Linked DNA regions of Styela clava. Each later gene encodes a partner of the first gene's protein in a complex. Links are inferred from orthologs where the notes say so. Each region holds a gene or a part of one and is shown in the gene's direction. Other genes may lie near its edges. The genes, in order: structural maintenance of chromosomes protein 5-like and non-structural maintenance of chromosomes element 4 homolog A-like.

Region 1 (8,221 bases):
AGTCTTATGGAGTGACGTCAGAGTTGCCTATCATGTTGTTTAATGTCATTGGTCTTTATTGACTTATTATTAAGGTCAATGGTTGAACTGGTACGTAACATTTTTACGATGAGAGACAAAGAAAAACAGTAGGCTACAAAACTTCAGTATTGCTAACCTGACACTTTGAAGATTGCTGCACCGGTCCAAAAAATCTTTCATGAGATAGGCAATTTTGAGTTCTGTTTATTAAATGGCCATAATTTCCGAATTGTATTTTCGAACTTCACAATATTATTCAAAATTATTATGACGTGCTCACGACAGGAGTAAATTTGTACACTGTATGATTTTCAGCTAATTGTTGGACCAATGAATCATTTTGTTTAACAATGGCGTTCCTTGTGTTGTAGTTCAGACAAAAAGATAGTTCTGGCCGACGAATCGCTTTTCAATTTTCCGTAAGATAATTATGCCAGAGTATGCCAGAAACATTGTTATACCTTTCCTTATTTTTTGAAGGAAGGGGGGGGGTGCTAGTTTCGAAAAAAATGTCACCAGCACCTTTGTTTTCAGACTGGACGAATTTCTCTGGCTAGCATAAACGCACGTATTGAGAATAGTGCTCATAGACGTATCATAAGATCTAGGTAAGTCTTCTATTTCGTAAATCATAGAAGTGATGAAAGGAAGTTAACCACAATAATGTGGAACCAGCTGTGGTAATTTATATTGTATTATTGCATATTTTGGTATTCTCAACTTATCTGTTTACTGGCAACAGTAATTTGTCTGACGAGTCATACTCGACTTGCTTTTATCTGAGTCATGTTTTGTTGGTGCTTTATCATTTCATTGTGAACTGCTTTAAGGTGCTGCTAACGTTTAAGTTAATTAAAGCCTAGTATTTGTGGATGGATTTGTTTGTGAAGTAATAAACAGAACTTAGGTTACAACAATTTAATTAACTTAAACATGGATAGACTATTCAAGCCAGAACCGCTGGAGTTGGATCCAGAAGCTGCCAGAACTTAGACAGAACTTAGGTTACAACACCAGCGATTTCTTCTTTTTTCGAAAAGAAAATGAGCTATAGAACTTCCGTCGGCATAGTCTGGGCATGAAGGCTTTTGGGCTGGATTCCAGACTTGTCGGCCTAATCCGTATAAACAAAAAAATATATATATAAAATTTGCTTCAAAAATAAAATATATATATATATAAAATTTGTTACATTGAATACTAAAAATACATAATTCATTGGCGTTACGCGTTGTTCAGGGTTTCAAACTTTGAGACAAGCTCTATCATTACTTTTGACCGCGCATGTCACTCTCCTATCGTCTGGAAGTTTGAATTGATTGTATTGTCTACTAAAATCGTTGTTTTTATTGAATTTTGAAAATTTTAAACAGATAACTATATTCTAAGCTTATTTCCTCCTTTCGATTTTCATACCATTCAGAAGTGAAAACATATGGAGGCTTTGAAATACACTGTCCCAAAATATCCCCGGCAGACAATTTTGGCCTCGCTTAGCAGTTATTGCTCACCGTATTTATTCGAATATGACGCGCACTCTGCATAACGCGCTGCATTACCTTCTTATTACAAATTAGTTTATTTTTTAATTTGATCCATGTATATATATATATATATTACACGCGTATACCGCGCACTCTCAAATCTAGCACTGCAATAGGCTTGTTAGATTATGATCGTAATCTGTGTAAGTTGTATTTTAGGTTGCCACAGACATTCATTATATAGGACGTTAACAAAACTTTACGTTTTCTCGCCCACTCGATTCGACAGCGTGCATTTCACACCTCTTTCTTTCGCCTCGTGCACTTGTTGTGTGTGTTCACGTGTAACTTTCCACCTACATGGCCCGCCGGTATCGGTGGGGAAAACTACCTTGCCCACCCCTGCTATAGATATTTATAAAACTTTAATCGCGGAAGCCAGCACTCTTACCGAAAAGTATTCCTTCCCACTTTTAGTCGATAGAAACCTTAACCTTGCTTTGAGCAAATAAAGTGTGTTCTTCGATTCCCTGCGTTATTATGCTGCTTATTTTTTAGATTTCTGCTTCAATTATAATTTTCTAGTTCAGATCAGTTTCAAACGTGAGTAACTAAGCTTATTCACATTACGCTATATCTGTAGCGACATGTTTTAACGATTAAATATGATCGACAGCACTGTAAAATTCTGATTTTGCCAGATGCAAAGCCACGCTATATATTCAACATTCTGATGACAGAAGTAGAAAACCTTATCATTCAGCAGAAAGGCGTAGATTGATCCAATAAATATAGAGCAACAAATACCTGTTCAACTTTTAGAGCAGTCATATGAAGAAGAGGAAACGAGATGCTTGGAGTCAGCAAAGGATAGTGACGTCTACTCCTGTGGAAAATATATCAGTCGAAATAATGACTCAGCAGGCGATCCCAGGATAATAAAATAATAACAAAGAGTCAGTCACATATTCAAATTTGTGGAATACATTAGATTTTCAGGCAGCAAAGTTTTTAATCAAATAAAGATTCGATTACTATTGTGTGTTATTCGTGTCGTGACTAGAAATTTGTGTGGAGTCGGCAGAACCCCATGCCAGTGTGGCAATCTCACTTGTGATAACAGAGCTCAAATACGTGTTACTACAATCTAATCAATATGTCTCTTGATTGTACACTGTTATGTACCACGATTGAACCAATTAGAATTTTTTTTATTGTAGCAATCAAATGTGCGTTTCCACACTTCTTTCTGGTTTTATGAAAAATTCGTTAGACTGTATCACACCTCTTAAACCGGGTATTTTACTTCTAGATTCTAGGTGCAAAATTTGTATAATTTTTAAATTAACATTTACACTACAGAAACTCTAAATACTTGCGCTTCAAAATTAAAGCAGGAATTTCTAATTCGCACAGCCACAGCCTGTCTGTTGCTTAAACAGTGGAATTCTCATGGCTAAGCTTACATACCTATAACGTATAACTCTCATACAAACCTCGCAACAGATAATCCAATATTTTTTCAACATGTATTGTACATTACAACTCGCTTCACACACGTATATTCACGCTTTTTAGCATTGCTATGTATAACTCAAAAAGCACTGGGAAAGTACCGAAAACTTGTTGCTCTTTATTACCGTTGGTGGTTGGAATTTTGATTTGATTTTGCACATCAGTAGTTGTAGACGAATGATTGAAAAAAATAAAGAAACAAACAAACCGCAAAGGGCGCAAAACTGTCAACCGTGACGTCGTCCTGCGGGAGTTGGTTTGTTTTCTTCACCTCGTTTTGACAGTTCAGCTTCGGGATTTTTCCGCGGAAGTCTTTCCGGAGGAGGTTTATTTAGTGATATAGATATCTTGTTTCTTGTTGTAGTTTAAGTGTTAATTATTTTGCTAACTGTAAATATGTCTAGTTATTTGTTGGTAGGTTTTGCGGCTTGAAAGTGGTTTTACACATGCATTCGTCCAGTTGTTAGTGCACGCTTATTTTGCCCACGCTCGGCAGTTTGTCTATTCACCGTTTTCAGGTTCTGTATAAGTATAAGTTTATTTCGACTCCATAATCAGCAATAGACGATAAGAAATAGATAAAAGTAACTGATTATAGAATCGGGAAAGCGAACAAAACCTAGAGTAAGGTTTGAAACGTACAGATTTTAGATGGAAAGGTATTGATAAAAGAAGCAGTACGTGTTCTCTCACCCAAAGTTCGGTTCTGTGTCTGAGTGCCGTACTTCAGCACCGTTACTGGGGTTTTTAATTTAATAATATATGTTTTTTAATTAAAATTGATGAAACTTTGGTGATTTTAAAATTTAATTTAGTCTTACCTTTCTATCTGGGAGTGATCAAAATGCTGAAATGATAAAATTCGTGTGGAATTAATGGATTATGTGATTCTTTGGTTTGTGGGGAATATTTAACACCAGTAGTGTACTAGTTGGGCTACTTTTGTATGTTTTGCTGGGTTCCATGTATTACTTGAGTAAATCTCTTTGAGTACCAATATATTGAGTTAGAGCTGACACCTATGATGATTTTATAAAATTTTTGAATTACTGAATAAGGAATTTTCAATCTGACTGTTATTATGTTCTATGATTCACATTTCCTGCGTTGATGCTTCTATTTTCCATTCATTTTCATATAGGATATGTTTATGTTATTCATTCATGAGGCACTATCCTATTGCAGTATTGCTGTATTGTTACGTCACCATTAATTTTCCGATTTCTTCTCTTTGATTCTGTTCATGTTAGGTTTGGATAAGTTCGATTATTGCCTTTTTGTGTTCATCCTAACTTAAAATGAAAATGGATCAGAAAATGAACAGATAATTAAAGAGTATTTGCATTTGCCAAATATTTTGTTATTAAAATTTGATTTTCTCAAGAGCAGTCGAAATTTTCATTTTTTCAACCTAGAGTCGAGCTCTTAAAAATGTTCCCCAATTTTATAGTCTCGGTCTAAACTAGATGCGTGCAACATTTTTTATCGGTGGGCCATAAAACCAACTTCATCTAGCTGGGCCACACAAACAATTTAGGTAACCATGTACACATCGAACCAAAAAATTTCCACAATAGAAAATTTTGATTGAGTAGCACTTTGAAATTTTGAGTTCTTGCATAATTTGTTAACATCAGCTTTAACAAAAGTTGTAACATAAATTGTCGGATTAGATTTTTGGGCTTGATATGAAAAAATCTTGACAAGGCACACTCCTGTTATGAAACGTTTTCAAAAGGGGAGGAATTCTTTTCCAGGAAGGATTTTTGCCATTTTTGGGGAGTACTTTTGCTTTGTATTCACTGTGGTATTACTAATTTTTTTTTTTTAGTACGATAAATAGTACTTGTTCACGAACACATAATAAACTGTGCAGAAACACAGTTGTGTGTGAGTTGCGTACTAGCAAAGGATCCATTGATGATTGAACAAATAAAGTAGTTTTATGCTTAGGAGGGAGGAAAAAAGAATTCCAAAATATCCACATGAAGAGATTCAACAGAAAAGCTTGAGTATCATTAAACAGTTACCGTAAATTTCATCAGGACCCATTACCAGTTGTCTAATATTGTGTTTATGTCCATCATTCTCTTTGTAAACAGAATTTGGTTTACCATTAGGCTAAAAGCAGTCATGGAAGATGATGAGTCGTACGTCGTTGGTTCTGGACAGAGTAACAGGAAGTCGAAGAAAAAATTTACTCATGGATCAATCGTCAGAATTGCTGCGAAAGATTTTTTGTACGATCAAAATTTTTGTATCTTTGCGTAGAAAAACTTTAATTAATAAACGTGTTTTGAGTATGAAATAATAAAGTTGCTACTAAAATCTGACTGAGAACAGACTGTGAAATTAATAGGAATCGTGTAGAAATGAAAAAAGAACCAGGAGTGTGGAATTTGAATTTGTTTTTACTTGAGCCAGTATCATATTTTTAAACTTCCTGGGTGGAAGTAAAAATTCTGAATTTTTTGATTGATTTTCTCAGATTTCGGAGCTGGAATTCTGGAGCTTAGTCCTGAGTCGGAGACAGCTACAGCCCTTGTCTTGCATTGATTTTATTATTTGAATTTATTTTTTAATTCCATATCTATTTCAGAACATATGACAGCTTCCAGTTCTCGTTGAATCCAAAGTTGAATGTCATTATTGGTCCAAATGGCACCGGTAAATCCAGCATTGTTTGTGCAATATGTCTAGGATTGGGTGGAAAGACAAACTACCTCGCTAGAGCCAAAGATGTCGGAGAATATATTAAATATGGACAAACCAAAGCAATCATCGAAATTGAACTGTAAGTGAAGAATCGTTACTTTTCCATTAATTTGACCTGGATATCGATGAAGCGTAAGAAGCGGGAAGAGTGAATACTTGAGCAAACGAGACTGAAAATTTTGAGCAATTTTTTTTTTGCGGCATCATACTGGAACAGTACCAAATTTAATTTACATAAAAAAAAACTGAATATTTAAATTTAATTTAATCGAAAATTATTATCTACATAATTGTTTTAAATCAGAGTCTATAGCATGCTGTTTACGGTATTTTTGTATGGGGTTTAAAATCATTGCTACTACATAGGGTATCCTACCCTTGGAAGAATTTATATTCTGCAGTACAATATTTTGTGCTCCCCCCTGCTAGGTAATTCATCTTTTCCTGTAATCCCTCTGTTTTTAACATTTAACAGATATGATGAACCTAAAAACATCCTAATCTGTCGTGAAATAGTAAAGCACACAAATTCAAATAAATCAACAACTTCATGGTACAGGGACGGAGTATTGGTAAGTATACTCAGAGTATTCTACCATTTATGGTAAATAAAATAAAATCTAACTTTGATATTCAATCAGGTATCAGCGAAAATTATTGAAGAGACTGTAAGCGGCTTGAACATTCAACTTTCCAATCTATGTCAGTTTCTTCCGCAAGAAAAAGTTGCTGATTTTGCGAAAATGAATAAAATTGAGCTTCTGGAGAATACTGAACTGGCGGTAAGTAATTCATTTATTTGGCATAGTTTCTTGAAAAATTGTATTTTTCGGTATTCTATCTTTTGCTTTAAGCAAGATTACACACTAACGTAAAAGTAAAGGACACTCATCTTGAACAACATTACAGCAGAGCACTGAAAATTCAAGTGAAATCTGTAATAGAATTTTAATGTTATATTTGATACCAATTTAAAGAGTTTTTCAAACGGTGACCTATTGATTAAAAGATTCTGTGGATTCACAATGTTAGCATTGCAGGTTTAAGTTCGGTAAATCAAAAACTCACTCATGGCCACTATCTTAACCAGGATGTAATAAATAAGGTAGCCTACTCTATTAGTGTGTATACCAGGTTAGGGTTAGGCCATAATTTTATTCCGATTTTCCTTATTTTAGTTTTATTACGAGCTCGAGGACTGTCTGTGTTAGCCAAGTGAATATACCCTGCCATAGGTTTCAGTCCCTTTACACAACTTGATGTTCCAAATTGGTACATACACTTCTGGAACGCCAGATTCTGGTCCTTCCATGATATAGTAGTAGCTTACACAGATCCTTGTTCAGAGGGAAAGACATTAAACATCAGAAAAAAAATAAATCATCGCTGTTGAATAAGTACTATCTTGGTTTTATTCAGTCCTTCGAGACTGATGTGGAAACGCACACTGGCCTAACCAACGTCTCATGATGCAACCGAGTCCTTCCATTGTAAAAATTAAACTTGTGTATATCGAGTTACTAGATTGAATAGAGTTGGAATCCTTTTCTGTACCATGTTTGTATACTGGAACAGGCATTCATTGTGTTTGTTTTCAATTCCATAAGATCTGAATGGCATATTGATATTTTTTTCAACTCCTCATTAATAATAAAACTTTCGAAATATAAGAATCAGTTTTTAGGCTTATGACTCTTGTATAAGGAATCTTTTATTGAAAAAAGTTCACACAGTTTTCTGTTCGTTTTGTTCAACAAAAGTACTTTAGTGTGACTGAAAAAATTCAAACTATTTTGATTTAAAGTTATGGGTCTTCTAGTAGTTGGGAAAAGTAGGTTTTGTTTCCAACATTGTCATATTTAATAAACAATTCATAGACGTAATTGGCATCCTTGTGCAATAACAAGTTTTTGTATTGAATATCCTTATACAGCTTTATTAGGTACGATTTCAAAGTCAATTAACAAAGGTCTTTATTAAAATGATCCTAATCTAAACATTCGGATGATTGGGCAACCTAGATAATATAAAAGTTCTGGAACAACCTATTCGGTAGAGATAAATTCCCAGTTTGAAATTATTCTATTGAAACATTTTGCGATTAAGGCCTTTTCGGCACACAATCCATGGCTGTCATTCTTCAGATATGCCACTGGTAACATTTACGGTCCATTCGAGTTTTATGTAACAACAAAAATTAATTGTAGATTTTGTTTATCTTTAATTTATACTTCTTTTAAAACAATCTTAATTTCAAAAGTCGATGATTAGTTATCGCAGGTTAAATACTATAGAAATATATATTAATGTCAGTTGTGTATTCTCCTTTTGAAACAATACAATTTGTTTGCTGTTATAACATTTAATTTATACTGTATTTAAGTTGGTATTCCAGTTATTTCGAAATAGGCTTCAGTGTTAGTAGTGAATTTATCCCTCACTTTGCACACAAAGAACTCTCGAAGAGTGAAAAATACAAACCTCAA
Region 2 (7,806 bases), on another chromosome or scaffold:
AATACGGGTTCAAATTTGACAGATCTGTAGGGAATATTAGTTAATCAGACGACATCTTTATAGTAATGTTCGGAACCCTTGAAATTGGTTCAAAACTTCTTCTAATTTGTTATAAACATTTCGACGTAATATATTACCCAGGTAGTAACAATCGCATCGTTATAAACAATCTAATTTGTCTTCTGGCAATATCAGTTCGAAATTCCAGTTTTAATTGTTATCGGACGACGATTTTAATAATGTAATTTGGCCTATGACTTCATATAAACTACATAACAGAAACAATTGACTTATGTCGTATAGAATCTTTTATAATACGTATCCAAGTCACATTATCCCCTAATAGAACATAATTTACCGTTCACAAAATTTATAAAAGCCTGTGCAAAATCTATATTGACAACCAGCGGTGTTCAACCACGGCTACAATATAGATATTCAATCACTTGCTGTTGCTGTTGTATAATATTCTTTACAACCTGAAGATCTGACTGTAATATCTTTTCATGGATAGTTTATGGAATGGATTTCATGGATAGTTTACGTAGAATTATTTGTACATTATTTCATGCTGTAACAGCTAACTGTAAAACACGTAGTTCCTAAATAAGAAGAATGGCTACAGGATGGTAAATACGAGATGGCAATGTCACCTAAACAAAATTCGCTCGGCAAATGACATCAGGTAGCTGATATGCCCAAAGTTAGGCTTAAAAGCATCGTTAAACGAATGTTACAATAAAAATCCTTTAATATTCAACACGCCAGTAGTCAGTCAACGAATTTTTTTGCGTTATTCAAAAAGTTACAAATATATAAAAACGTAAAACAGTAATTGTTTTTAATGTCACAGAAGCCGTATTAAACTCTCGATTATAGATCTTTCTCCATCAGTAATCGGGGATATAAATTTGAATTTAAATTTATTAAGGAGATAAAACATTAAAAACACAACTTCACAATGGAAGTGTATGAGTGAACACTAATCGAAGCTTTCAATTTTAAAATTATTAGAAATATTGAGTATCCAATGAAAATCCTTACTATTTGTTCTATTTTGACATGATATGATTTACGTATCTTGCAATTAGGTAAAACCACAGATCTAAGAATTGAAAATTTTAAATGTCAGTTCTGAAATTAAACATGAAAAGATTTTGTGTATATTTTGCTACTTTTATATGTCGGGCGTATAGTGTCTTCATGTCGCGAATGAGCATCAGAATAGGTTGTGCAGAAAATGGTGCTCCCGTAGTATGTGCACAAAGTTGGCACACAACCCGAACATAGTATGTGTACCAAGATAGAGGTATTAGGTTGTGCGCCATCTTGGAGCACATAGGCTACTACGGGAGCGCCCTGAAAATACCCACATTGGCAACACCGACTTACCGAATACAAATTTTACACTTCCACAATTTCGCTTTCGATACTTTCTCACATGTATCATGATAACAACGCTTGCAAACGCAGCATTGGTATTGTACGTGCTCCCGTATACATTTCGCACTTTAACAGACACTCCAATTATTATTTTCCAGAAAGCAAAATTCATGCATCGGAATGTCAGAGTATATGAGTGGCGACGATGCAGTGCGACAACGTTCCAAATGTGATTGAATTTTTGTTGACTCCGCCTTGTTCAATCTTCCATATGGGCGTTTTGAAGAGGTATGTACTCACTTCAAATATAAATACTTGCACCACCCTCGGGCAGACGTCGAATTGAAACTAGCGATAAGAATAGCACTCAATATACATCGGATTGTCTTAAAAAACATTTCAACGAGAAAGCAAAGTATAGTAAGTACTAAGTTCTGACGAAAATGATTTTATGAAAAGTATTGCAAAAATATATGGCAACTGTAATCGAAAAAAATGAAAAATCAGGCACTTGCGAAATTTGACCCCTCATCACAAGTCCCAATCGTTTTTCCTTTTTACCAAAAAAGACGGCATTTCAATCATACAAAAGAGTGTATATTTTAGTTTTCTGCTTCAAAGTAAGTATAAACATCGAGAAATAGGTTTTTACAAAGTGCCTGAAATTTCACAAGTGCCTGGTTTTAGTATTTTGTGATTGGAGTTGCCAGATTTTATCATTCCTATTCAATTTCAAATAAATCTAAAAAGTACGATGGTTATCTATATGTTGTCAAATAATATTGCTCATTGTAAAAACGCTGAAATTGTTGTAGAACTAGGAATTTATTTTAAAAAGCAATGATTAGTAAGTTCTGACTCAAATAATTTAGAAAAATTGTTGCGAAAATATATGGCAACTGTTATCGAAAAAAATGAAAAATCAGGCACTTGCGAAATTTGACCCCTCATCACCAGTCCCAATCGTTTTGTTTTTTACCAAAATGACGTCATTTCAATCCTAAAAAAGAGTGTATATTTTAGTTTTCTGCTTCAAAGTGTACAAAAACATCTAGAAATAGGTTTTTACGAAGTGCCTGAAATTTCACAAGTGCCTGGTTTTAGTATTTCGTGCTTGAGGTTGCCAGATTTTATTATTCATATTCAAATTCAAATAAATCCAGAAAGTATGATGGTTGACCATATGTTGTCAAATGGTATTGCTCATTGCAATATTAAAAACGCTCAAACTGTTGTGGAACAATGAATTTGCGTTAGAAAGCAAAGTATAGTAAGTGCTGACGCAAATAAAATTTTTGCGAAAATATATGGCAACTGTTATCGAAAAAAATGAAAAATCAGGCACTTGCGAAATTTGACCCCTCATCACCAGTCCCAATCGTGTTTGTTTTTTTACCAAAAAGACGTCATTTCAATCATAAAAAAGAGTTTATATTTTAGTTTTCTGCTTCAAAGTGTATAAAAACATCGAGAAATAGGTTTTTACGAAGTGCCTGAAATTTCACAAGTGCCTGGTTTTAGTATTTTGTGCTTGAGGTTGCCAGATTTTATTATTCATATTCAATTTCAAATAAATCCAGAAAGTACGATGATTGACCATATGTTGTCAAATGGTATTGCTCATTGCAATATTAAAAACGCTCAAATTGTTGTGGAACAATGAATTCGCGTTAGAAAGCAAAGAATAATAAGTGCTGACGCAAACAATTTAAGAAAATAATTGCGAAAAAATATGGCAACTGTCACCGAGAAAAATGAAAAATCAGGCACTTGCGAAATATGACATGTCTCCATCAGTCACAAACGGTATTGTATTTTACCAAAATGTTGTAAATTCAACCATACAAAGTGTATATATTTAATGTTCTGCTTTAGAGTAATCAGATACATTGTAAAATAGGTTTTGACCAAGTGCCTGAAATTTCACAAGTGCCTGATTTCTATATTTTGTAATCAATGTTGCCACATTTTACTATTGAAAAATTATTTATACCCTAATAAAGTGGAAATAATATTGTTTTATTGCAATATAGGGATGCAAAAAATTATTTAAAGTTCAATTATCTTGTCAGGTCAATTGGAAACCCCAATGACGTACGGTAAAAAAAAATATCAAAGTGCCTGAAATGGTGCCTGAAAAAGTGCCTGAATTCGCAAGTGCCTGGTTTTAGGGAGACCCTCCTTTGCGTGTCGAGTACCGTACGTTTTCTTGTCACTTTGTTATCCCTTGCACAGTATTCTAACCAAACACATTCAATTTATTATATTTGCCCTCACGATTGAAGTTGTAAGTAAAACAGCCACCTTTCCATCTCCCATTACAAGAAGACCCTTCGTGCAGTTGCAGGCATACCGGTACCGTACCCGTTAACCGCCGTCGCATGGCGAGTTAGCCTCCACCACCCCTTGTATTGAGTCTGTTCCGCACACATCTCATTCATGTATTCAGCTACCATTAGCAGAGGCAAGCCTATTACAAGTACTGATTTACATTATATACAGATAGGTACGGTACCGGTATAATTTAAAAGCGGGAGATCGATATTTAGCCCAATGCTCGAGACATAGATCAGACGTCGTCAGGTACCGGTACCGGTATCACAGTATTATACTGCGTGAACACCCCTATAAAATTTTAAACCCTCCTCTGTTTGTTAGCTCCTCAATTTCCGTTTTTTAATTCTAGGGTATGAGCTGATTGCATTTGCAAATTCATGCAGTCATTTGTCAACTTATGAACTCATCGCTCATGACGAAAAAAACCTCCACTTACTTGAATTACCGTATCATTCCCAACTACTAATCTGCTAATTGCATCTTGAAACTATACAAAGATACATGTTTTACTTAACTTTGTAGCCAAATTAGTTTAAGCATAAATTCAACCGTAAGACTCAGACTTTTTCTGTCTTCTGGTCATAGCCCAGTAGTCATATACCAGTATACCGTAACAGTATAATGATATACCGGTACCGCATGTATTCTTGTTTGCGATAGAATTTTTCATCAATTATAAAAATGCGTATTGAGGAAACTGGGTTCGCAGGGGGTTGAGAAGGCTTAAAATTCCTTGTATGCTATCTATTACTGTATCATTCATACATTCAAATTTTGTGAAAACTGTGCTAGTTGACGTGTAATGCACGAATTTTCTTGGCAAAATACTGCTTATAAATCCAGGGATTTTGTGCAAAATTTATAATATTTTAGTTTTGTTCATTTTTGAAAGAATTTTACAAACATGTTTTTTGAAATAAAATAAATATCACAATAATTAGGTCTATGTAAAACAGAAGTTTTGGTAGGAAAACTGACATTTTGAGTTGGTACATGTGTTTTCAATTAATGTATCATTCTATGAGTTTTATAAAAATCAATATACATATATAATACATAATAATATTTGCATTAATAAATTATTTTATACTTCTTGTTCTTGGACTTGCTTATTCTTTGTTTTAAGTTGGAGAATTTGGTTATTGTCTGATTTGGAAAGTTTGATATAATTGATATGCCAATAGTAGTAAGATAATCACATTATTTTTACTATAAGGATTGGTGCCTATTTGACTATATCAATTCAATGTTGTTTTAGGTTATAGTCCTAGAATACAGTGTATATCTCATCAAAATAGACATGGCAGAAAACGGAGATGAAGAGATGGAGATTTCATCTCTATCAAGCAAATTTATGACACCTATCCAACGTGCAGAAAGGTTGAAGATTCGACAAGAATACAGAAAACTGATCAGTGAAGTCCAAGACAAAAAGGAAGAATTTGTAAAACCAGAAAGTGGAGATTTATTGGATCGTGTCAAAAAAGCAAACTCTCTATTTCAAAGGGTGAAATCAACGAGGGAGGGAGCTTTAGATTCACGGTTTATGGCATTATCAGTGTCTATTGCGGGGCAAACAACAAATCAACTTCAAACAGATCTTGTGGCATTTCAACCTGAGGAATTCATGGAAAAATTAGTGACCAGAATGGATGGGCGTTATATTGGTGAAGAAGAAGATGAAGTTCATATCACTTCAGAAGGATGGGAAAATTTCGGACAATATTCCTCTAAATTTTTTTCTAGCGTGAACCCTGTATTGAATGTTATGTCTGGTACATTTGAGCACAGTGCACTAAGAAGGCGACACACACAGTCTGACCCCATAGATAACGATACAGGGACTAAAACACAGCCGCAGCACCTTACACATTTCGAGGGGGATCGAAAAGAAGCCACACCAGAAGAAATTGAAAGAGTGCTTGGAGTGATTCAACAAATGTATGAACAAGATCCAGTCCCAATAGACTATTTTGAACTTGTTGTAAATCCGGATTCTTTTGGTCATACTATTGAAAACATGTTTCACATGGCATTTCTCGTCAAAGATGGCTTTGTTCGTGTGTTTTTAAATGAAAATCAAATACCAGTTGTTGAGCCAGTCAACCAAAATGAGGAAGATAATACTCAAACCGAAAAAAAATGTAATCAAGTCATGGTATCAATGTCAATGGATGAGTGGAGGGAAATTATTGATATTTATGAACTAGGAGGAAGAGCTCCATTCATAGAACCTTCAGAGCCTAAAAGCCCTGAGAGAGCTAATGGTCCATCATCAAAAAGAGTTAGAAGCTGAGTACCTCAGTGCTAAAACTTATGACTGAGTATGAGCTGAAAAATGATGTGATATCACATTTGAAATTTAAAGGCAGTTGTGAGCTTAAAATCGCAACCCTTGTGTTCAACTATGTTTCATCATCTTCTAAGTGTGTTACATAGCATGAGTTGGGTGATCCTGGACTGTAGTAGTTTGCCACATACAGTAGGACCAAGGTAATTTGGTATCTGATCATCTGATGCTATTTGATCAGTATCAATAAGTCATCTAGATTGATTTTTATCATAGATTTTGATAAGTGCTTTTATCCTTGTGTATGAACTATTCAGAGATAGAATGTAATACTTGGAATATTGTTTCAAAGATTGTCTTTTTGATTCTTGTATGTTAATGTGTATCTGATTTTCCTATGAATCGGCCGATTTCATGATGAACTATAGAGTGAGATTTTCATTGATTTGTAATGCAGAGTCCAAATAAAATATGAAATAATTCTTATGATAAATATGAAATTCTTAATTCTAAACATACCGTGATAAATTGTGCACTTATCGTCTGAATGAGTTGTCCAATTCCATGTGGTATTTCTATCAACCAATGGGTGGACTGGAACTGAATCAATTGGGGCACACTTGACCTAGACGTTTTTAATTAATACAAAAGCAATGATTTCAGGTGAATTTATCATCCAATTTGACATGAAAACTATAAACATTTGATTGTCGTGTTCGATTGGCATACAGGCAGGCCATGGATAGAAGCTATTGTTGTGCTGAATGAATCACTATGTAGCCTATATTGTTGACATAGTTTTTTTACCTTTGGCTGCAAGTCTATATCATGCCCAAAATATCACACCTTTTATACATTGGCCTGATTTGAGTTATGTTTTAGTATCTTTACTCCAATCCTGCATTTGAAGGGGTGAAATGGGTTATCTTTTCAATATCTTTACTGCAAGTTTGCGTTCGAAGGGATGAAATGGCCACTTTTTTATTAATAAATTTTGGAATCATTTTCTTTTCTCATAATTCTATCGTTTTTACTCTTCATGATACTCTAGTATTTTCATACCATTTGGGGCAAAGGTTGTAACCATTTGTTGAGTTTTTATAACATTGAAAACATTTTTGTGATCACGTACCATGAGAGTCAGTAGACCGAGCACTCAATTATTCACATTGTCCCAAAGAAGATTGTCAACCGATGATATCTTTTTATTGTCAGCAGACCGGCATCGTCCTTTTTTATGATCGACGAAATATACAAACACAAACGAAGAAACCCATAGCATTGCATTGCTAGTAAATTATTGGCCTTCAACTTCACAATTACGTGTTTCGCCGAGCCATAAGGTTGTGTTTCAGAATAGACTCGATTGAGTTTAGGCGTTGCGTTTATTGCACAGATTCTTGTTATGGGCGACTGATGACCCAAATCGCCAATTTTTAATACTAAAAAAGCAGGCTCTCTTGGGGAGAGACTCTCTCTCTCTCTCTATAAAATAATGCATATTAAAATTGCATGTATTGTCAGCACAGTCTTATGCAATTGTTTGTTTCACACTGAATGGATTCTAATGGCAATGGGAGAGCGAGATTTCTTATTATGTCAACCAAACAATAGTCAGGCGTGTTTGACATTTTATTTTCATGGAGACTCTAAACTTGAGATAGCGTTGGTGTATTGAGAAACTTGCGTATGAATGAATGCTTTTTGTGGTTTCTCAGATTTGGGCAAGAGCTCATGCGGAACTAAGCATCTAAGGGGCAGCAGTAAAGCTTATTCAGGACGCCAAGCCTTTTCGT

The links.
Region 2: structural maintenance of chromosomes protein 5-like (region 1) and non-structural maintenance of chromosomes element 4 homolog A-like share a complex: the UniProt entries of both Homo sapiens proteins name them as parts of the SMC5-SMC6 complex. The link is inferred for Styela clava from reciprocal best matches to the Homo sapiens genes SMC5 and NSMCE4A.

Annotation. Positions count from the first base shown.
Region 1 is NC_135250.1:26,787,939-26,796,159, reverse strand, and holds the start of structural maintenance of chromosomes protein 5-like, read left to right. Parts: upstream 1-5,101; 5' UTR 5,102-5,153; coding exon 5,154-5,260; intron 5,261-5,619; coding exon 5,620-5,814; intron 5,815-6,210; coding exon 6,211-6,307; intron 6,308-6,376; coding exon 6,377-6,517; intron 6,518-8,221. UniProt on the Homo sapiens protein: Core component of the SMC5-SMC6 complex, a complex involved in repair of DNA double-strand breaks by homologous recombination.
Region 2 is NC_135257.1:6,221,635-6,229,440, forward strand, and holds non-structural maintenance of chromosomes element 4 homolog A-like, read left to right. Parts: upstream 1-4,960; 5' UTR 4,961-5,020; coding exon 5,021-6,016; 3' UTR 6,017-7,282; downstream 7,283-7,806. UniProt on the Homo sapiens protein: Component of the SMC5-SMC6 complex, a complex involved in DNA double-strand breaks by homologous recombination. The complex may promote sister chromatid homologous recombination by recruiting the SMC1-SMC3 cohesin complex to double-strand breaks.